4 linked regions of the Rattus norvegicus genome follow. The protein of the gene in region 3 binds, or shares a complex with, the protein of the main gene of each other region. Links are inferred from orthologs where the notes say so. Each region holds a gene or a part of one and is shown on either strand. Other genes may lie near its edges.

The links.
Region 1: Ccnc (region 3) and Med23 share a complex: the UniProt entries of both Homo sapiens proteins name them as parts of the mediator complex. The link is inferred for Rattus norvegicus from reciprocal best matches to the Homo sapiens genes CCNC and MED23.
Region 2: Ccnc (region 3) and Med31 share a complex: the UniProt entries of both Homo sapiens proteins name them as parts of the mediator complex. The link is inferred for Rattus norvegicus from reciprocal best matches to the Homo sapiens genes CCNC and MED31.
Region 4: the proteins of Ccnc (region 3) and Med13 are in contact, whole or in part, in a cryo-EM structure (PDB 8TQC), measured with the Homo sapiens proteins. The link is inferred for Rattus norvegicus from reciprocal best matches to the Homo sapiens genes CCNC and MED13. Residues at the interface, in NP_005181.2 of Homo sapiens: Gln7, Gln13, Trp14, Leu16, Gln19, Lys23, Gln26, Lys27, Arg75, Tyr76, Glu144, Leu145, Asp147, Cys148, Ser221; in NP_005112.2 of Homo sapiens: Tyr1342, Ser1630, His1631, Val1732, Lys1733, Thr1734, Thr1736, Phe1738, Gly1739, Pro1740, Gly1741, Ala1743, Arg1897, Met1898, Ile1901, Asp1905.

The regions. Positions count from the first base shown.
Region 1 is NC_086019.1:22,353,955-22,358,124, forward strand, and holds the start of Med23 (mediator of RNA polymerase II transcription subunit 23), read right to left. Parts: upstream 2,801-4,170; 5' UTR 2,721-2,800; coding exon 2,673-2,720; intron 2,381-2,672; coding exon 2,349-2,380; intron 2,191-2,348; coding exon 2,103-2,190; intron 371-2,102; coding exon 246-370; intron 1-245. UniProt on the Homo sapiens protein: Required for transcriptional activation subsequent to the assembly of the pre-initiation complex. Component of the Mediator complex, a coactivator involved in the regulated transcription of nearly all RNA polymerase II-dependent genes.
Region 2 is NC_086028.1:57,336,090-57,340,145, forward strand, and holds the start of Med31 (mediator of RNA polymerase II transcription subunit 31), read right to left. Parts: upstream 2,801-4,056; 5' UTR 2,745-2,800; coding exon 2,717-2,744; intron 1,827-2,716; coding exon 1,749-1,826; intron 1,476-1,748; coding exon 1,379-1,475; intron 1-1,378. Other genes in the region: C10h17orf100 (uncharacterized protein C17orf100 homolog), read left to right, coding at 3,097-3,498. UniProt on the Homo sapiens protein: Component of the Mediator complex, a coactivator involved in the regulated transcription of nearly all RNA polymerase II-dependent genes.
Region 3 is NC_086023.1:40,066,683-40,070,182, reverse strand, and holds part of Ccnc (cyclin-C), read right to left. Parts: intron 2,816-3,500; coding exon 2,731-2,815; intron 2,550-2,730; coding exon 2,480-2,549; intron 1,025-2,479; exon of another isoform or gene 975-1,024; intron 1-974. UniProt on the Homo sapiens protein: Component of the Mediator complex, a coactivator involved in regulated gene transcription of nearly all RNA polymerase II-dependent genes.
Region 4 is NC_086028.1:71,671,102-71,675,366, forward strand, and holds the start of Med13 (mediator of RNA polymerase II transcription subunit 13), read right to left. Parts: upstream 2,801-4,265; 5' UTR 2,730-2,800; coding exon 2,664-2,729; intron 2,540-2,663; exon of another isoform or gene 1,656-2,539; intron 743-1,655; coding exon 508-742; intron 1-507. UniProt on the Homo sapiens protein: Component of the Mediator complex, a coactivator involved in the regulated transcription of nearly all RNA polymerase II-dependent genes.

The sequences.
Region 1 (4,170 bases), on a different chromosome or scaffold from region 3:
GCTCCAAAGGGTCTAACGCCCTCTCCCGGCCTCCTCAGGCATAGCTACATATACTGCAACCACTAACACAGATGCGTATACATAAAAACAGAATAAACTTAAAACAGAAAGCCTGCCTCATAAGCCAACTTACAGATGAGCTCCACACCTCCGTCCCATCCCTTGTTTCTGTACAACAACCTCAAAGCTATTCCGCAACTTGACAATGAAGGGTCTTCCCACTGCCCATCCCCACCCAAACATACCTGGGTGGAAGAAGACCAGTCTCAACTGCCATGGCTAAGCAGTCATAGAGAAAGGAAATCCTTTTCGGGCTATGTTGGCCGTGAATAAATTTAACAATCCACTGGACACACTGTTCATGAGACTCCTAAAAGTCAGAAAACACTTTTATTTTGGGCCTGAGGTTTCGATTTCAAACTCACACATATTATACCTGAAAGTCAATCAACACTGTAAAGGAAATAGTTCTCCGTGAACATCCATAAATGAAAATGATTTCTGAAAGAGCACGATGAAAAGAGTCAGATTCGGGGCTGGGGATTTAGTTCAGTGGTAGAGCGCTTACTTAGGAAGCGCAAGGCCCTGGGTTCGGTCCCCAGCTCCGAAAAAAAGAACCAAAAAAAAAAAAAAAAAAAGAGTCAGATTCAGCCATGGGCACGGGAGTGCCGGCCTATAAACCTAGTACCTGAAGGGGGAGGCGTGGGTAAGGCCACCCTGGGCCGTGTATAGATTCCTAAGTCAACCCGAGTTATAGCTAGCAGAGACTGTCCTCAACCAAATAAATAAGTATTTGTTATATCAATTGTAAAATCTTACCATTATATAAATTAAACTTTCACCATGAGACCTCCAAAATAGTTAAGATTATATTAACAGACTCATAGCCGACTGAAAACTCATTTATTTGTATCTTTCTATATCGCTACATAAACATCCTGTAAGGTCGCACAGTAAGTCACTAAATGCTTAGGGAATTACATTAGCAATTTCATGTGCCGTTAAGGAGCTCGGCACACACGGCACTTGCTGTGTTGAGTTTGATTCCCAGGACCCATATAGTAGAGAAAGATTCTCCCTTATAAGCTGTTTTCTGACCTGTACACAAGTACTGTCACACACACACACACACACACACACACACACACACACACACACACCAAAAAGAAAAAAAGCCCAACAAATATTTAAAAATTAAAAATGCATAAAATATGCTAAATATTGAAAGAAACACAAAGTAACATTTTACCAAGATAAAACTCAGTGCTTGATACACAAGGATAAGAAATTATTACTATTCCAGTGTATGCCTTTAAGGAATTAAATCAGTTGTTGGTGTTGAGAATGTAAACTAGATAACTCTCATAAGAAATAATTAGGTAATTTCCACAAAATCATAAATTGCTGGGGTGGTTATGAACGCTTACATCCCAGTACTGAGGAGGAAGAGACAGGAGGGTCATAAGCCCATAACCAATCTGGACTACATATCAAGTCCCAGGCAAATCAAGGTTACAGAGACTGTGTCATGTGTGTTACACACCTCCCCTCTGTAACTAAGGAAAAAAACAAAACAACTAGCTTTTGATTATCAATCCGATGCCTGGTCAATAGCATGATTTACTGTGACACTACTTAAAGTAGAAAACTGAAGAGAAACATCTAGCTAAGTGTGGTGGTCCATGCTATGATGCCAGGAAGCAAAAGAAGGGAAATGCTAAAAGTTCAACTCTAGCCCGGGCTACATAGCAAACCTTTATCTGGAAAAAAAAGAAAGAAAAATTTGAAAGCAAGAAGGTAGTTAGTAAATAAAGGAGGTAAGGACACATAACAATATGCTACACCACTATAAGAAATAAGAAATAGGGTCTGGAGAGATGGCTCAGTGGTTAAGAGCACTGACTGTCCTTCCAGAGGTCCTGAGTTCAATTCCCAGCAACCACATGCTGGCTCACATGTGGTTATGTGTAATGGAATCTTCTGGTGTGTGTCTGAAGACAGCTACCGTGTATTCATATAAATAAAAATAAATAAATCTTTTTTAAAAAAGGGGGTGGGGCGTCAAAAGTCATTAATTGGATGATGAACAGGAAATGTCTTACCTGAGAAAGTCCATTCCAAAACTGCCGGAAGGCTGCCAAACAGCTAATAAGTTTTGTTTTTTCATCCTCGGGGGTATCCATAAACATGCTGAAAAACAAAAATCGCATTATTTGCTACTAGTTTTAAAAGAGTACACAGCCAGTAAGGTAAATGTTTTTAACTCCCCCAAACCAACTTAAGTGACATCTAACAAAGATAAATCTACAAACAAAAACCCCACAAAAATCTGCCTGCCACATACTCACCCTGGGAAAGCCTCTTCTATAATTTCTGTTTTCTGCAAACAAACAAATAAAAAATAGTAAACGATCTGAATACTAAAAGGAGGTGGGTTGGAAATGTCCCCTAAAGAAATATTCTCGGGCAATATTGTGCAAGACATTATCGGGACCGCGACGAGAACTAACTATACTTTCTCGGATCTGACAGCAGTCCGGGGGACCGCCACCCTAGTTCAAACGCCCATGTCAACACAGTGGGCAGGGAAGAAGCTGCCCCAAGCCCAGAGTTGGACCTGCAGCCTGCCCCTCCCGGAGCCATTGCCCTGGGTTACGGACAGTTGCACTCACCACCACCTCCTCGAAAATGCTCTGCAGTTGCGTCTCCATTGGTACCATCGAGTCCCGGCCTTCCGGGGTACCCGGCAACCACCGGGTGAACCCCTAGACCTGGGAAGAATGGAGCGAGGGGGCGGAGCCACCAACAGGAAGCCGCCGCTCTTTCTGTTACTTCCTTTGGTGCTCCGCAAATGAGCCTGCCCGGTGCTCACCCGTTACCAGCCCCTCCAAAATCCGTATCTCTGCTTGATGGTTCTGCGTGCTGATGTGGCCCGCAAGCTGACAACGCTGCTTGATCGCTGACACAGCCTTGGACAGCAAGGCCACCACCTCCTGGCTGGAGCCGGAGCTGCGTCCAGCCTGGCTTCTCGGACGCGGCTCCTTGTAGTTCACTTATATATAGCCCAGAAGCACAAGGGCTGCAGCCAGAACCAAGTGGGTGACTGTCAAGAGCTGACCTCGTTGAAGCAGTTGATAACACGTTATTCTTGCCCAATAGAATCCAAGTCTTCACTATGGTAGCCTCAGTAGCTAGCACAGTGATGGGTATGTCGTCATCTTTTATTGGATGTTGAAAAAAAAAAACCCGGAATAAACGCATTATTATTAATTTGCAAGTAAGTGGCTGTATTAAGCACGTCATTGTAAAACAGACTATTTCCCACCATCCTGGTAAATTTCTGACATCATATGTGCCCACTGGCTCAGTCACACAGCCCTACATCCAGAAACCATTTTCAAACTATATCGTCGTTAATTTTCCACATCCTTGATATTTATGACTAGACTGTTTAAATTTGTCTACTATCAGACAATTTCTCATAAGTTTATTTGTGGTTCGAATACATTTTGTATTTAAGTTTTTCACCTTATATAGCCACCATTTTTCCTTGACATACTTGCTTTCTCCCACCTCTCTTCGCACCCCTCCTCTTTTTTCTCCTCTCCCTTCTCCTTTTGTCTCCCCCCAGATTTCTCACTTCCTCTCCTCTTGTCTTTCAAGACAGGGTCTAGTATAGTCTGGGCTAACCTGGAGCTCACTATATAGCCCAGGTTAGCCTTGAAATCACAATCTAAAAATCTGCCTGAACCTCCTGAGCGATGGAGTGTTTTCTTGTTTTCTAAAACACTCTCTTTTGCTGTAGATTGATTTTTTTTTAAGATTTATTTATTTAATGTATATGAGCATACTGTTGCTGTCTCCAGGCACACCAGAAGAGGGCACCAGATCCTATTTCAGATGGTTGTGAGCCACCATGTGGTTGCTGGGAATTGAACTCAGGACCTCTGGAAGAGCAGTCAGTGCTCTTAACCACTGAACCATCTCTCCAGCCCCTGTAGATTGATTTTAATGAATACTTTTATTTATTTTTTGTTATTGTCTCTCCTAAAGCCATGCATGGTGCTATTCATACGTTTTCTTCCAGAAACTTTGTTCTAGTTTTGGTTTTTAAGTCCATACTTTTCTCGAAGTAGCTTTCATGACTGCTGGTCAGTTTTCATACAATTT
Region 2 (4,056 bases), on a different chromosome or scaffold from region 3:
CCAAGAGGACACAGATGAACAGAATAAGGAACAAGCCTACAAACGGCTTAGAGCTACAAGGAGGTGTATTTGATCAGAGTATATAAGAAGAGCTCCCTTACCTCTGGCTATCAATGGAGTAAGCTGCCTCTAATAGTAGAGGGACCTATGATCATAGGGAGCCTCCAACAGAGCGGAGACAATCATCTTTCAACAGCTGGGCTGGAGAGACTGAGCTTGAAGGTGGCTAAAAGTTTGCTAACATGTAACATGTTATACTTTTCTTTCTTTTTTTTTTTTTCTTTTTTTTTTTTTTCTCGGAGCTGGGGACTGAACCCAGGGCCTTGTGCTTCCTAGGCAAGCGCTCTACCACTGAGCTAAATCCCCAACCCCATACTTTTCTAATAGTAATTTCAAGCCTATCATTTGGATTCCTAGAGGAATCTAGAATTGCATCATGAAGAGCAAATCTACAGGCAGCCCAGGAATCAAGTCAGAAAAATGACTACGATTAAAAAAAAAAAAAAGGTTTGAAATGTTTTCCTCTAATTTTTAAAATAGGGTCTCTCTGTGTGGCCCTGAATGGCCTGAAGCTTGCAACATAATCAGGCTGGCCTCAAATTCACGGAGATCTGCCTGACTCTGCCTCTTGAGAGCTGGGATTAAAGGGACACCAAGCTACTTCTGGGGTTTTTGTTGTTGTCCCCTCCTTTGGGGCAGTGTCTAGACAGGGTTTACCTGGGTAGAGTGGCTGTCCTGGAAGCAGCTCTGGCCTTGAACTCACACATGCGCCCGCCTCTGCCTCCCAAATGTTGGGATTAAAGCCAGCTTGGCTTTCTTTTCTCTTTTTAAGTCAAAGCAGAGTTTGATGTGATATTGTTGTGTCTGTTCTTTTACAGTGAGTTAATACGCACAGTGATTGAAACAAAGGACACCACAAAGAAAGGCAGGACCTCTAAGACTCTCAGGAAACAGTTCTTCCTACCGTCACAGGTTATGGGTTGTTAGGCCTCAAAACCCCAGAAAGACAGGGGCAGTGCTAAGTGACATGGTTAGACACGACCAAATTACATTAGAACTGTAGTCTACAACAGTTCACTGGATCTTAGCCTGCACGAACAGTATGCTCTGACTTACACTGCCAAGAGAGTAAGCTGGCTCCCACGTAGACAGTTCTTTGGTTTTGTTTGAAGGGAGTGAGGTAAGAATGGTAGCAGAAATAAATGAAATTCCTGTCATAATCAACCCAAGTTAGAGATAACAGCGTCTTACATCAACTAAAAGCAGAAAGATCCCAAATGCTGTTTTCCATTCTGACACCGAGAAAACTGCTAAATAATAGCACTTAGTATTTATAATAAAGTACACACAGCTTTGGGATTTTAAAAATTAAACTTACTTTAGATATTTGGCATATTCTGGTTCTTTCCAGTAAAGCAAGTACTTAAGATAATTAACAAAAGCTTTGTCTTTGAAGTAACCTCTTTGGGCGAGAACTGAAAGACACAAAGAAACACTCTGTATGTCAACCACTGCTGGGCTGCTGATCTGTAATCTCTTAAGTAAAGTAGCTCTTCTTAACATCCCTACCGACAAAACACAAGGGATTAAAAAACACAAGCCCTTGTTTGCTCAGTTGATACTTACAGACCAGCACAAGTAAAACCCCAAACACATCGAAGTAAATAAATACTATTACAAATTGCATCTCTTCTCAGAAACCATTAAGATCTAGTGAGCTACTTAAGTTAATGATGTACTTAACTTACAATTAAGGTAATTTGGGTTGGCTAAACATTGCACAAATTCCAACTCCAACTGAAACCGAAGTCGATTTCCAGCATCATCTAGGAGAAAAGACAGTAAAAAAAAAAAGAGAAAGAAGGAAGGAACGATCACCCAAAATAAAAGTCACAATACAAACATTGATTTGTAGAAACAAAAATAAAACGCAGGTCAAACAGCTCAGCAAGTAAAGGTGCTTGCTGCAAAGTCTGATGACCTGAGTTCGATTCCTGGAACCTACAGGGTTGTAGGAAGACAACCGATTTCTGCAAGTTGTCCTCTAACCTTGGCATGCACCGCCGCTCACCCCCATAAACACACACACACATGCACACTCATGAATGAACTCAAATATCAAAGTGTGGAAGAAACTTCCTTAGAAATTTAGTTTAATTCACTACTTAGTGAGCCCTGTTTCCAAAACAAAAATAGTAATAAAAAAATCCTTTAAAGTTCGTTGAGGAAAAAATATGTAGAACCTGTACGCCACTGTGGAAGGACGTGAGCGGAGATTATCGGATAGTCTGCAATAGCTGTACGGTTCCCTATGTTGTTATAACCACAACTAATTACGTTAAGCAAAAACAAAGTGCTACACAAAAACGAAGCAGGAATGATTAAACAATGGAGAGAAGACGGTGATATGCATTAGAATACACAGGTTACCGACATTTCAGGCAAGTTTGGAGAAGTTCCAAAGAGCAGACAGTGGAAGGTCTCAGTCCTTTCTATGCGCCCCGGCCCGCCCCGCGAGTCAGGGTTGGAGTAGGGGTTAGAGCAACACAGGAGCAAAGTTGGTCCTACAGGCCATATTCTGGGGGGCAACACCGCCTTCTCCTCCGCCGGTCCCAACTCTAAGGATGAGGAGTTGAGCCCGGAAGACGGCGCAGGGGAAGGGAAACGGGAGAGGATTTTGGGGCGAAGGACCATTCCCGTGCAAAACACAACGCACCTGTCTCCATAGCGACGGCCGCGGCCATAGCAAGCAGAAAGGCGCAAACACTACCAACCCGACCCAACCGCAGCCCGGATTGGTGAAGGAGAATCCGGAAGTCACGGGTCCTACTTCCGGTCGCGGGGCAGAGTGGGACACGAGGGCGGGGACAACTTCACTTTGGGGAAGAGTGGCCCCGCCCATCTGTGCGGACCGGGCCGACTGCGCGCGCAGATATCGAGCGGGGCGTGCCGGAGGGCTTCTCTGATTTCAGGTCTGAGTCCTGCTGCCTACTCTGATGTAATACACCTCTCTGACGTCACCTTCCCCCGGGTGGCGTGACGCAGAGCATGATCCTTGGGCTTCTTTGTTCCTCCTGACCAAAGTGTACGGGCAGGATGGCCTCGCCCCTTAGGAGCAAGTCCTCCGTCCCGCGAGTGGAAAGCACCCGCCACAAGGAGACATCGACTGTCCGCATGGAGACGTCGTCCCACCGCGAGGAAACGTCATCCCACCGCGTGGAGACGTCCTCCCGGCAGGTTCTAACGTCTTCCCGGCAAGTGGAGACCTCCCAGCGCCACCGAGAGGGACCCTCCCTCACCCCCTCCGCGAAGCGACTCCCTCAATTCCTCGAGGTGTCCTCCCAGCACGTGGAAACCTCCTCGCAGTGCATGGAAACGTCCTCCCGCCACGTCAGGGCGTCGTCATCCCTGCGGGTGGAGACTACTGTGCACCGCGTAGAGAGCCCAGCCAGGCGAGACAAGCAAGCCACTCGGCAGAGTGCCAGAATGACTCGATGAAGTGCCATGGTCCTTAGCCAGGACTGAGGAATTGCCAGCCAGCTTCCAGGAGAGCCAAGTATCTTTGGTTTCATGGAAACAGCCCATAAAACAGTGTAAGAAGCAGGCTGTGGTTTCTGGGCACTGTTAACATGTATTGACATTGCAGCACCTTAGTCCATCCTGCTGTTGACCCAGCGTACTATTAACCTGAAGCCAGCACAGAAAGGTTTCCGATTTGTAGTACTGTGTAAACCCAGACGATGGACAAAGAGATTCTTTGAGTCTCTACACCAGGTAAGTTTTATAGTCTTAGGTCCCTCTAGAATGTGTTGACGACTTGAAATCTGCGAAGAGGGGCCAGATTTGTCATGTTTCTTGACTACTGGCCTGATCATATACCTGCTTGAAACCTACAGAGCAAGGCATCATCTTTCACAAATTGTTAATTACCCTTTAATAATATTTATATTTCATAATAAGTTTTCTCGTGTTAAGTTGTTATACACAGTATTCCATCTACACTTTAAAAAATAGGTCAGGAGCTATTAGAAAAATAAGGGCAGGGCAATTGAGAAA
Region 3 (3,500 bases):
ATCTGGGGTTGGGGATTTAGCTCAGTGGTAGAGCGCTTGCCTAGGAAGCGCAAGGCCCTGGGTTCGGTCCCCAGCTCTGAAAAAAAGAACCAAAAAAAAAAAAAAAAAAAAACAAAAACGTAATCTATAACTTTATGTGCGCACATATATTTATATTTAACCTTCAAAACCCAATAATTAAAACTAAAAACTCAAAACTGAAGATAGTATGTTAAACATGATTTTGCCCACAATTTCTAATCAATTAGACAAAACAGAAAGATTTGGTTAGAGTTAAAATGTAATGCAACATACTGAGAGGGTAAATGAAAATGCTACCTGGAATTGATACCTACTGGCAAAGGTCCAATGGAGTGACCCTAGTCAAATCAACACACTCTAAAGCAGTCCCCAGGCCCAGGAATAGTTGGACAACACAAAATTAACTACATGGCTTTTGTCCTTGGTTGCTTGATTTTTTTTTTTTTTTGAAGGCTTTTTTGTTTCTTACTGGCTTTGTTTCGATATTTGTCTTATGTTTTTTGTTTTAGTTTTTGCTTTGTTTGAGACACAGAAAATGAACACTAAGCTGGGTGAGTAGGGAAAAGGATCTGCGAGAAGCTAGGGTAGGGGAGAAAACATGGTCAAAATACATTGTATAAAAAAAAACTTTAAGAAAAAGTAACTCAACAACCACAACTAAAAATACACCTCATCTACAAGACCTCTTTATTCAAAAAGACATTCGATACACATCTGGTCCTCAGGACTGAAACCAGGCCTCATGGGAACTAGGTAAACACTATAACTGACTTGTTTATAGACTGACTTATAACTAGATTTATTCAAACTTTATCTCTCTCATGGACAGAGTTAACTTAGGTTCCTAGAAAGGGTTTTAGTATTCTAATATATTCAATTCTGCATACTTAAGAGATAATCAAGATGTCATGAATGTTTCTAAGATAAAATGAACACAAAAGAAACAAACTTACTGGTTAAAGTCATTCAATTCACATGGATACAATTATCCTAAAGACATTACCTAAGAACAGAAACAATAGACTAGGAATTGTGTGGATTAGCTAAGAAAAAAGCCAGTTCTCAGAATCTGCTACTATTTGGGCTTTAGGGGGTAGTTACACTTTCTCAATAATATTGCAAACAGTAAGTTGAGCAGAAATGCAGTTCCCAGTCCAAGTCCTTCTCTGTCTTCTCTTACTTACCTTTTCTGCTCTCACTATCCACACTTCCTTGCTGGAGTCTATAAAGTCTTTTCTACCTTTTTGCTCTCCCACAGTGGCTTGTTACCAGAGAAGTCAGGTGTAAACAAAAAGCATGTGGGTGAGGAGCAGAGACATTCTCAGGCCATAGTAGATAAGCTGTGCTACCTCCTTTGTTTTCTTTCTTTCTTTTTCTTTTTTCTTTTCTTTTTTTTTTTTTTTTTTTTTTTTTTTTTTGGTTGTTTTAAGACTGGGTCTTACTACAAACCTCTGGCTATCTTGGAACTTAGAATTCACTGTGGTTCAAGCTGGCCTTGAATACATAGAGATCCACCTGCCTCTGCCTCCCAGGTGCTGGGATTAAAGGCATGCACCACCACACTCAGATAAATAGTCTTTTAAAGACAGCAAGCAATTAAGTTACAGGATGAAGATCTAGACTATTGGAACCACTGACCCAGTATACGAACACTGCTCTCTCTATGCCCTAGTTTCCTCATTTCTAAAATGACAATTGTAAATGCTACAGTTCTGAGGGGATTCCTTTCCCCAGTGTTGCATCTCTGAAGGAAAGGCATCTTCCCAGTCAGGAGCCAAGGAATACCACAAAGTCACACTGCACAACAAAGTTCACATAAAGACTTATTGGGAATGACAAGAGAAGGTGTTTGCAACCCTGCTTGGGTAAGGAGGAGAAGCAGCAGAAACCTAAGAAGGTAGGCTGTATTTGAGGGTGGGGGGCAGGATTGTTTTCCAGGGTAGCATGGGCCTGATCTTGGGGCAAACTCAGGGACTGGAAGGATTCTTTTTCTTGGCCTTGGTTTCTTGCTTGGGCTCAAGTCAAGGTGTTCTTTCCCTGGCCCTGATCTCAGGGTCAAACCAGGGTCAGGGTCTTTGGTCCTTTGACCCCACATGGATACTACTGCCATATACTCCAGAGTTACAGGATTGAATTAGAACTTGCAAAGGAATAGAGATGTAAATAAGAAATACCCAAGTTAATAAAGATGAAAAAAAAAAGAAAAAAAAAGAACTTGCAAAGGGCTCATTAAATCATCTGATACATAAAATATTTATTAAAAAAATAAAAACATTTTCAAGATGTGCATATTAGTTCCTATAAACTATCATAGGATAACTATGATTAACCATACAAAAGCAATATCTATCTATCTATCTATTTATCTATCTATTTATCTATCTATCTATCTATCTATCTATCTATGATAAACCAGACATATCAATATTTTCATGAAGAACAGAAAATTGTTTTATACCTCTACTTTGGATGCCAGAAACACACATGTAGGAGCCATTAATACAGGATCTATACTTTTCAGAGAATACCTAAAATATGATTAGACAAGAGTTAAATGATGACTATTTAGAAAACACACTGGGGTGGGGGTGGACTTTGGGAATCATAATTCTACAGTAAACAAGTGATTTACTTATTTTATATATTGTACATGGAAATTAGAAAAGAATTCCAACCAGGCATTAAAAATAATAAATAAAACAACCATACCTGGCATAGAATCTCTTGAAATAGACTGTAGCAGTAGCAATAACTTGTTGTCTTAATTTAAGATGTTCCCCTAATGCTTGGATAACTAAAAAAAGAATACGTTTAAATGTACCATCTGTCATCAGTATACCAACACTAATAACCTTAAGTTTTATTAGTGATTTCTACGTTGCAATCATGACCATTTCACATCTAGGCACACTCTGACACCCTCTGAACTCCAGTAGTCTAAGACTTACAAATGCAGCAATATTCATAAACAATAAGAGAAACTGCCTGCAATTTATCCTTGCAATATAAGCAGGCTGAGTATCAAATATTCTTTCTTTACTACATATTTTAATGCTTTTCATAATAGCTATAGAGTAGCTTAAAAATTAAGACAGATATTGTTATTTACCAAGAAATCCATAGTTAATCTTTGATATAAGGACAAGGTAGGATTGCAGAGAATAACGGAATTAAAGCTAGGTGACAGGATGGGGAGATGGCTCAGGAGTCAAGAGCATAAGACCTGGGTTCCATTCTTAACACCTACATGGTGGCTCATAGTCCTCTGTAACTCCGTCAGGAGATCCTAACTTCCTCAGCATCAGGCACAGCAGATAACTGCCCAGATACCGGCAAAGTGCAAATCACATAAGATAAATACAATAAACAAACAACACAAACAAACAAAAGAACAGGCAGCAAAGCTATCCCAGACACAGTAAAGGGCTCTTGATTAAATCTCCTTCTTGCTAATGCAAAGTTATAAGGCAAAATGACAA
Region 4 (4,265 bases), on a different chromosome or scaffold from region 3:
AGTAATTTATTCTTTGATGAAGCAGTATCTAAAAGACACTCCCATCCACCCCCCAAAAAACAGCATATACCTCCCTGGGTTAACACATAATCCTAAATAATATTAAAATAAAACTATACTTTTGAAAATATATGCCAAAGTTACATTTCTAGACCCGCCCACAGGGTTAGACAAAAAGAACATAGCAAAATAGACTCAAAGGTGAGTTACACTTGACTTCAAAACTATTATATAACTATGAAAAACACCATGCTTCCAGATTCCATTTTTCTCAGGTTAATGAAAATGCTTTCCCTAGATACAAACTGTCTGTGAGAAACTACAGAAGGGAGCTGGGCTGTAATCTACATGGCTAACTTGAGGAAACTAAAACAAGGATGGTTAAACAGAGCATGGCAACTGCTCTTATAGCTTCCCACTGACAAGACAGCCCACCACAGCATATGCACATTGGGGAAAGTATACAACGTTGCTAAGGCACATTGAAAAAGGATAAATTGCTTTCACCTGATAAGTCATGGTGAATAAGGTCAGCAAAATTGGGATCTTTACCCCACCAAAATATCCACAATTCTCTTCTTCCAGGTCTTTGATCTCGCCGCCAAACACCGAGTACATCTGCCTTAAGGCATCGACTAAAACTGCTCAAAATGGGGTCTTCTTCTGTCACCGGAAACAGAATAGGGGCAGAAGTTGGGCCTTGCCATACATATCTTTTCCACTTAATTCCTGTCAGGTCGGCCTGAAGGAAAAGAAAGCATAATATCTATATTATTGTATATTCACTCAAATAAACAATATCGATTATTAAATATAATATATTATGTTACTACATATTTATATATAAATATATATTCACTATAAAGTCTTTGATTCATTAAAATCACTATTTTCAATTCATGCTTAAGAACTGAAAGTTGACAAAATTAAAAAAACAAACAAACAAACAAACAAACAAAACACCATGGCCAATTTTAATGTTTCAACCAACAAGAACTGAAGGAAAAGAATACAAAACTGTTAAATAAAATATCAAAGATGCCCGTGAGTAGCCAGTCTGTAATAAACACAGCATATCGGAAGCCGACCAAGGAAACAATGATGGTAAGCCTGTCTGTCGTCTCTAGCCTACATTCCTCTCTAGCCGTCAGTCACAGTCGCTCCCTGGTGAACTGAAAAGTAAAGGCCCTCATTGCAACGTCGTAAGACGTCATGGCTCTAATGAAAAGACTCTGAATGTTTTTCTGAAAAGAAAAAAAAAGCCTGCTAATTCCCCACGAGCACACATCTTCAGGAAAAGAACTACTTCCAAGGAGCTGTCAGATTTGTGCTAATCTATCTTCAAAAAAACCGAAGTGCCAAAAATAGATCCAGTTGGGGAAGACAGAAACGTTAAACCTGCTGTACATCTTACTACATGTGATGAGATGCTGATTAATGGACACTGTCGAGAAAACCAGTCTAATCTGTAAGGCAGAAGTACGTTAAAGATCCCCATTTACCATATCGTGAAAGAGATTCAACAAAGGAAATTCATAATTCTTTACTCTAACTTGGTGACAGAAAGCATACGGTGCCAAAAATGAAACTGCTGATACATGACTGGCAGTTTACGCTTGCCAACTAGTTATGCTCCACCCACTTAATTCACTTACCTATGATAGACTTAATATTTCCCACAGCACAAGAAAAATGAAAAAGTCACTCCAACTTAAAGTCATTCACGAAGCTCGGATATCGTTTAATTCAGGACTAGATATTTGCAACAGTTGGTACTTTTGACAAAAAGTCTTAACTATTGGGTGTTATCCGATTTGGGCCGACCTACATATACATACTAGAACATCCCTAATTCCAGCTTCCCCACACTTTTCAGTTCAATAAAAGGAACAGCCAGCTCAAAACATTCTTAAAACGTAAGCAAAACTGACAAATATAGAACGTTTAGTGCGAAACCACAGTACCTCCTCCACTAGCCCCTCCACTCTCACAAAAACATAATGTTCTAATAAAAGCAAGATGGCTAGAAATTGTCAAAATGGCAAAATGTTTTCAAAGTTTAAAAAGAAAACATATGAACTGGCAAACACTGTTTTTACACAAAGATCTGAAGTCACCCATAAGGAAACTACCCCTGTGTTAGTTTAACTTATAAAACGAAGAGGGTTTTAATACATAAGTTTTGGGGGGTCCTGTTTAAGAGAAGCCCACTTACAAGGGAAGGGCGTAAAGGCAGTGAAGCAGGCAGGGGCAATCCTGGAAAGTGTGGAAAAGGGATACGCTGTTCCATACAAGGGGCGGGGGGTGGAGGGGGGGCAAGCAAGAAGCACATAAGAAAATATTACTATCCGGCCAGATAAGAACCCAAGTTAAGGACAAGACTACGATGGAGAAAAAGACTCCAAAACAAGACAGGAGGAGGGGAAAGACTTTAAAGAAAAAAAAAAAAAAAAAGGCAAGACTCTTCCTAGCAGAGCCCTGGCCGGTGGGTGAGCGGACGCTGTCTCCCGGGGGCGGCCGCAGAGCCTCGGAGAAGGCCGACTCCGGCGGCGGGGCCTAGCCCGGGGACACCGGCATCTGGATGCGACCCGGACCCCCTCCCCCACGGCCCAAGGGCGCACGGCGCGGCCCCCTCCCCCATCGCCCGCGGCCCCCGCACTCACCAGGCAGAAGAGGTTACAGTGACAATCTTCCAGGCTGGCCCCGTTCGACACGAAGGAGGAACTCATCGTCCCTCACAGCAGCCGCCGCCGGCGCCACAACCCACCATCCGCCATTACCGCCGCCTCCGACCAGAGAGAGAAACACAGACACCGGGGAGGGCGGGGGGCGGTGGGGAGGAGGCCGCCGGGCCGCCCGCCCTCCCCGCCGCCCCCCGGCGCCGCCGCGGCCCCCGCCGCCCGGAGGCACCCAGCCGCCCGGGGCCGAGGCCGCAGGCGGGAGGGCCGCGCCGCGCTCGGCCGGCCGCCGGGACTGCGGAGCCCGCGGACGCGCGTCCCTCTCTGGAGAGGAGGGGAAGGGATGTCTGTCCCTTCCACCAGAAAAAAAAAAAAAGATTTAAAAAAGAAAAAACGAAAAACAAAAAAAAATAACAATCAGGGACACGATAAATAGTCAGAGCCGGAGTGGGAGCAGGCCGAGCCCTGACGCCCGGGAGGGTTCTCCGCGGCCCGGGGACGCCCGCGGAGGGGCGGGAAGGGCGAGGACCGGCAGAGCAGCCCGGGCCCCCGGCCCGGCAGCGGCGATGTCCTTAAGCCCAGAGTCTCCTCAGCGGCGGAGGTGGTGGCGGTGTCTGCGGGCTCAGTCCATTCTCCGGCTCTGTCCTCGTGTTGTCCCTGGGCCAAGCCTGCCTAACGTCTGCTCTCCTGCCGCCTCACCGCCTGGACGCCGTAGTCTCCCCCATTTTGTGGGCCCAGCGGGCGGTGTTTTTCCCCCTTTAATCCGAATTCACGGGTTTTCCCTTCGCTTTAATGGCGGCCACAGGGACCAGCTCGCCCTCTCTGCTCGCCCATTGGCCGCCGTGAGGTCACGTGGGCCGGGCTCCGTAGGGAGGGGGGGAGAGAGAAGGCGGTGAGGGAGGGCAGGGAAGCTTTCGGAGCCCCGGGGACCCGGCGGCCAGCTGGTGGCTACTGAGATGGCGCCATCTGCTGGATGCCCCGGTTAAGATGACCCAAGCCTTGGCCCTAGCTTTCTGCTGGCTGGGGAATGTGCAGCACAGGAAGGTTCACTTCAAAACCCAGAATTACTTGGAAATCAGTTCGAATTCTTTGGAAGAGAAAGTTGGCAAAAGAAAGAAAGGAAAGAAAAGAAAAAGAAAGAAATTCCAATGCACTCTCATTTATTCCATAAGGCCTCTGGGTACATCGAGAAACTCTAGGACTAGAGAAATCAGAGCTGGATAGACATCAACCTCACCCTCTCTTTTTAAGTTATAATAAAAAGGTAAAAACGAAATGATCTGGCCTTGTGGTTAATAAGCTAGGAATAAAGTCCTGCTGTTCAGGATTCGAAGCCAGTCTTTTACCTCTTTGTGACTCAGTTTCCTCATCTGTAAAATGAGGGAAACAAACGTTATATTTGTTATGTGACACATTAATACAACCTGAGCTCTAGTGCCTGGAGCAGCTAAGCCATGTAAGGCATACATTACTATACTGCCATCCTTACTTTCTATGGTTATTTTGAGAAGCAAGTGAACTCTGAGAGTAAGAATCATGAGAGTTGGTACTCTGTCTATACAGTTGTTCAGTGTCTTAAAATGTTCT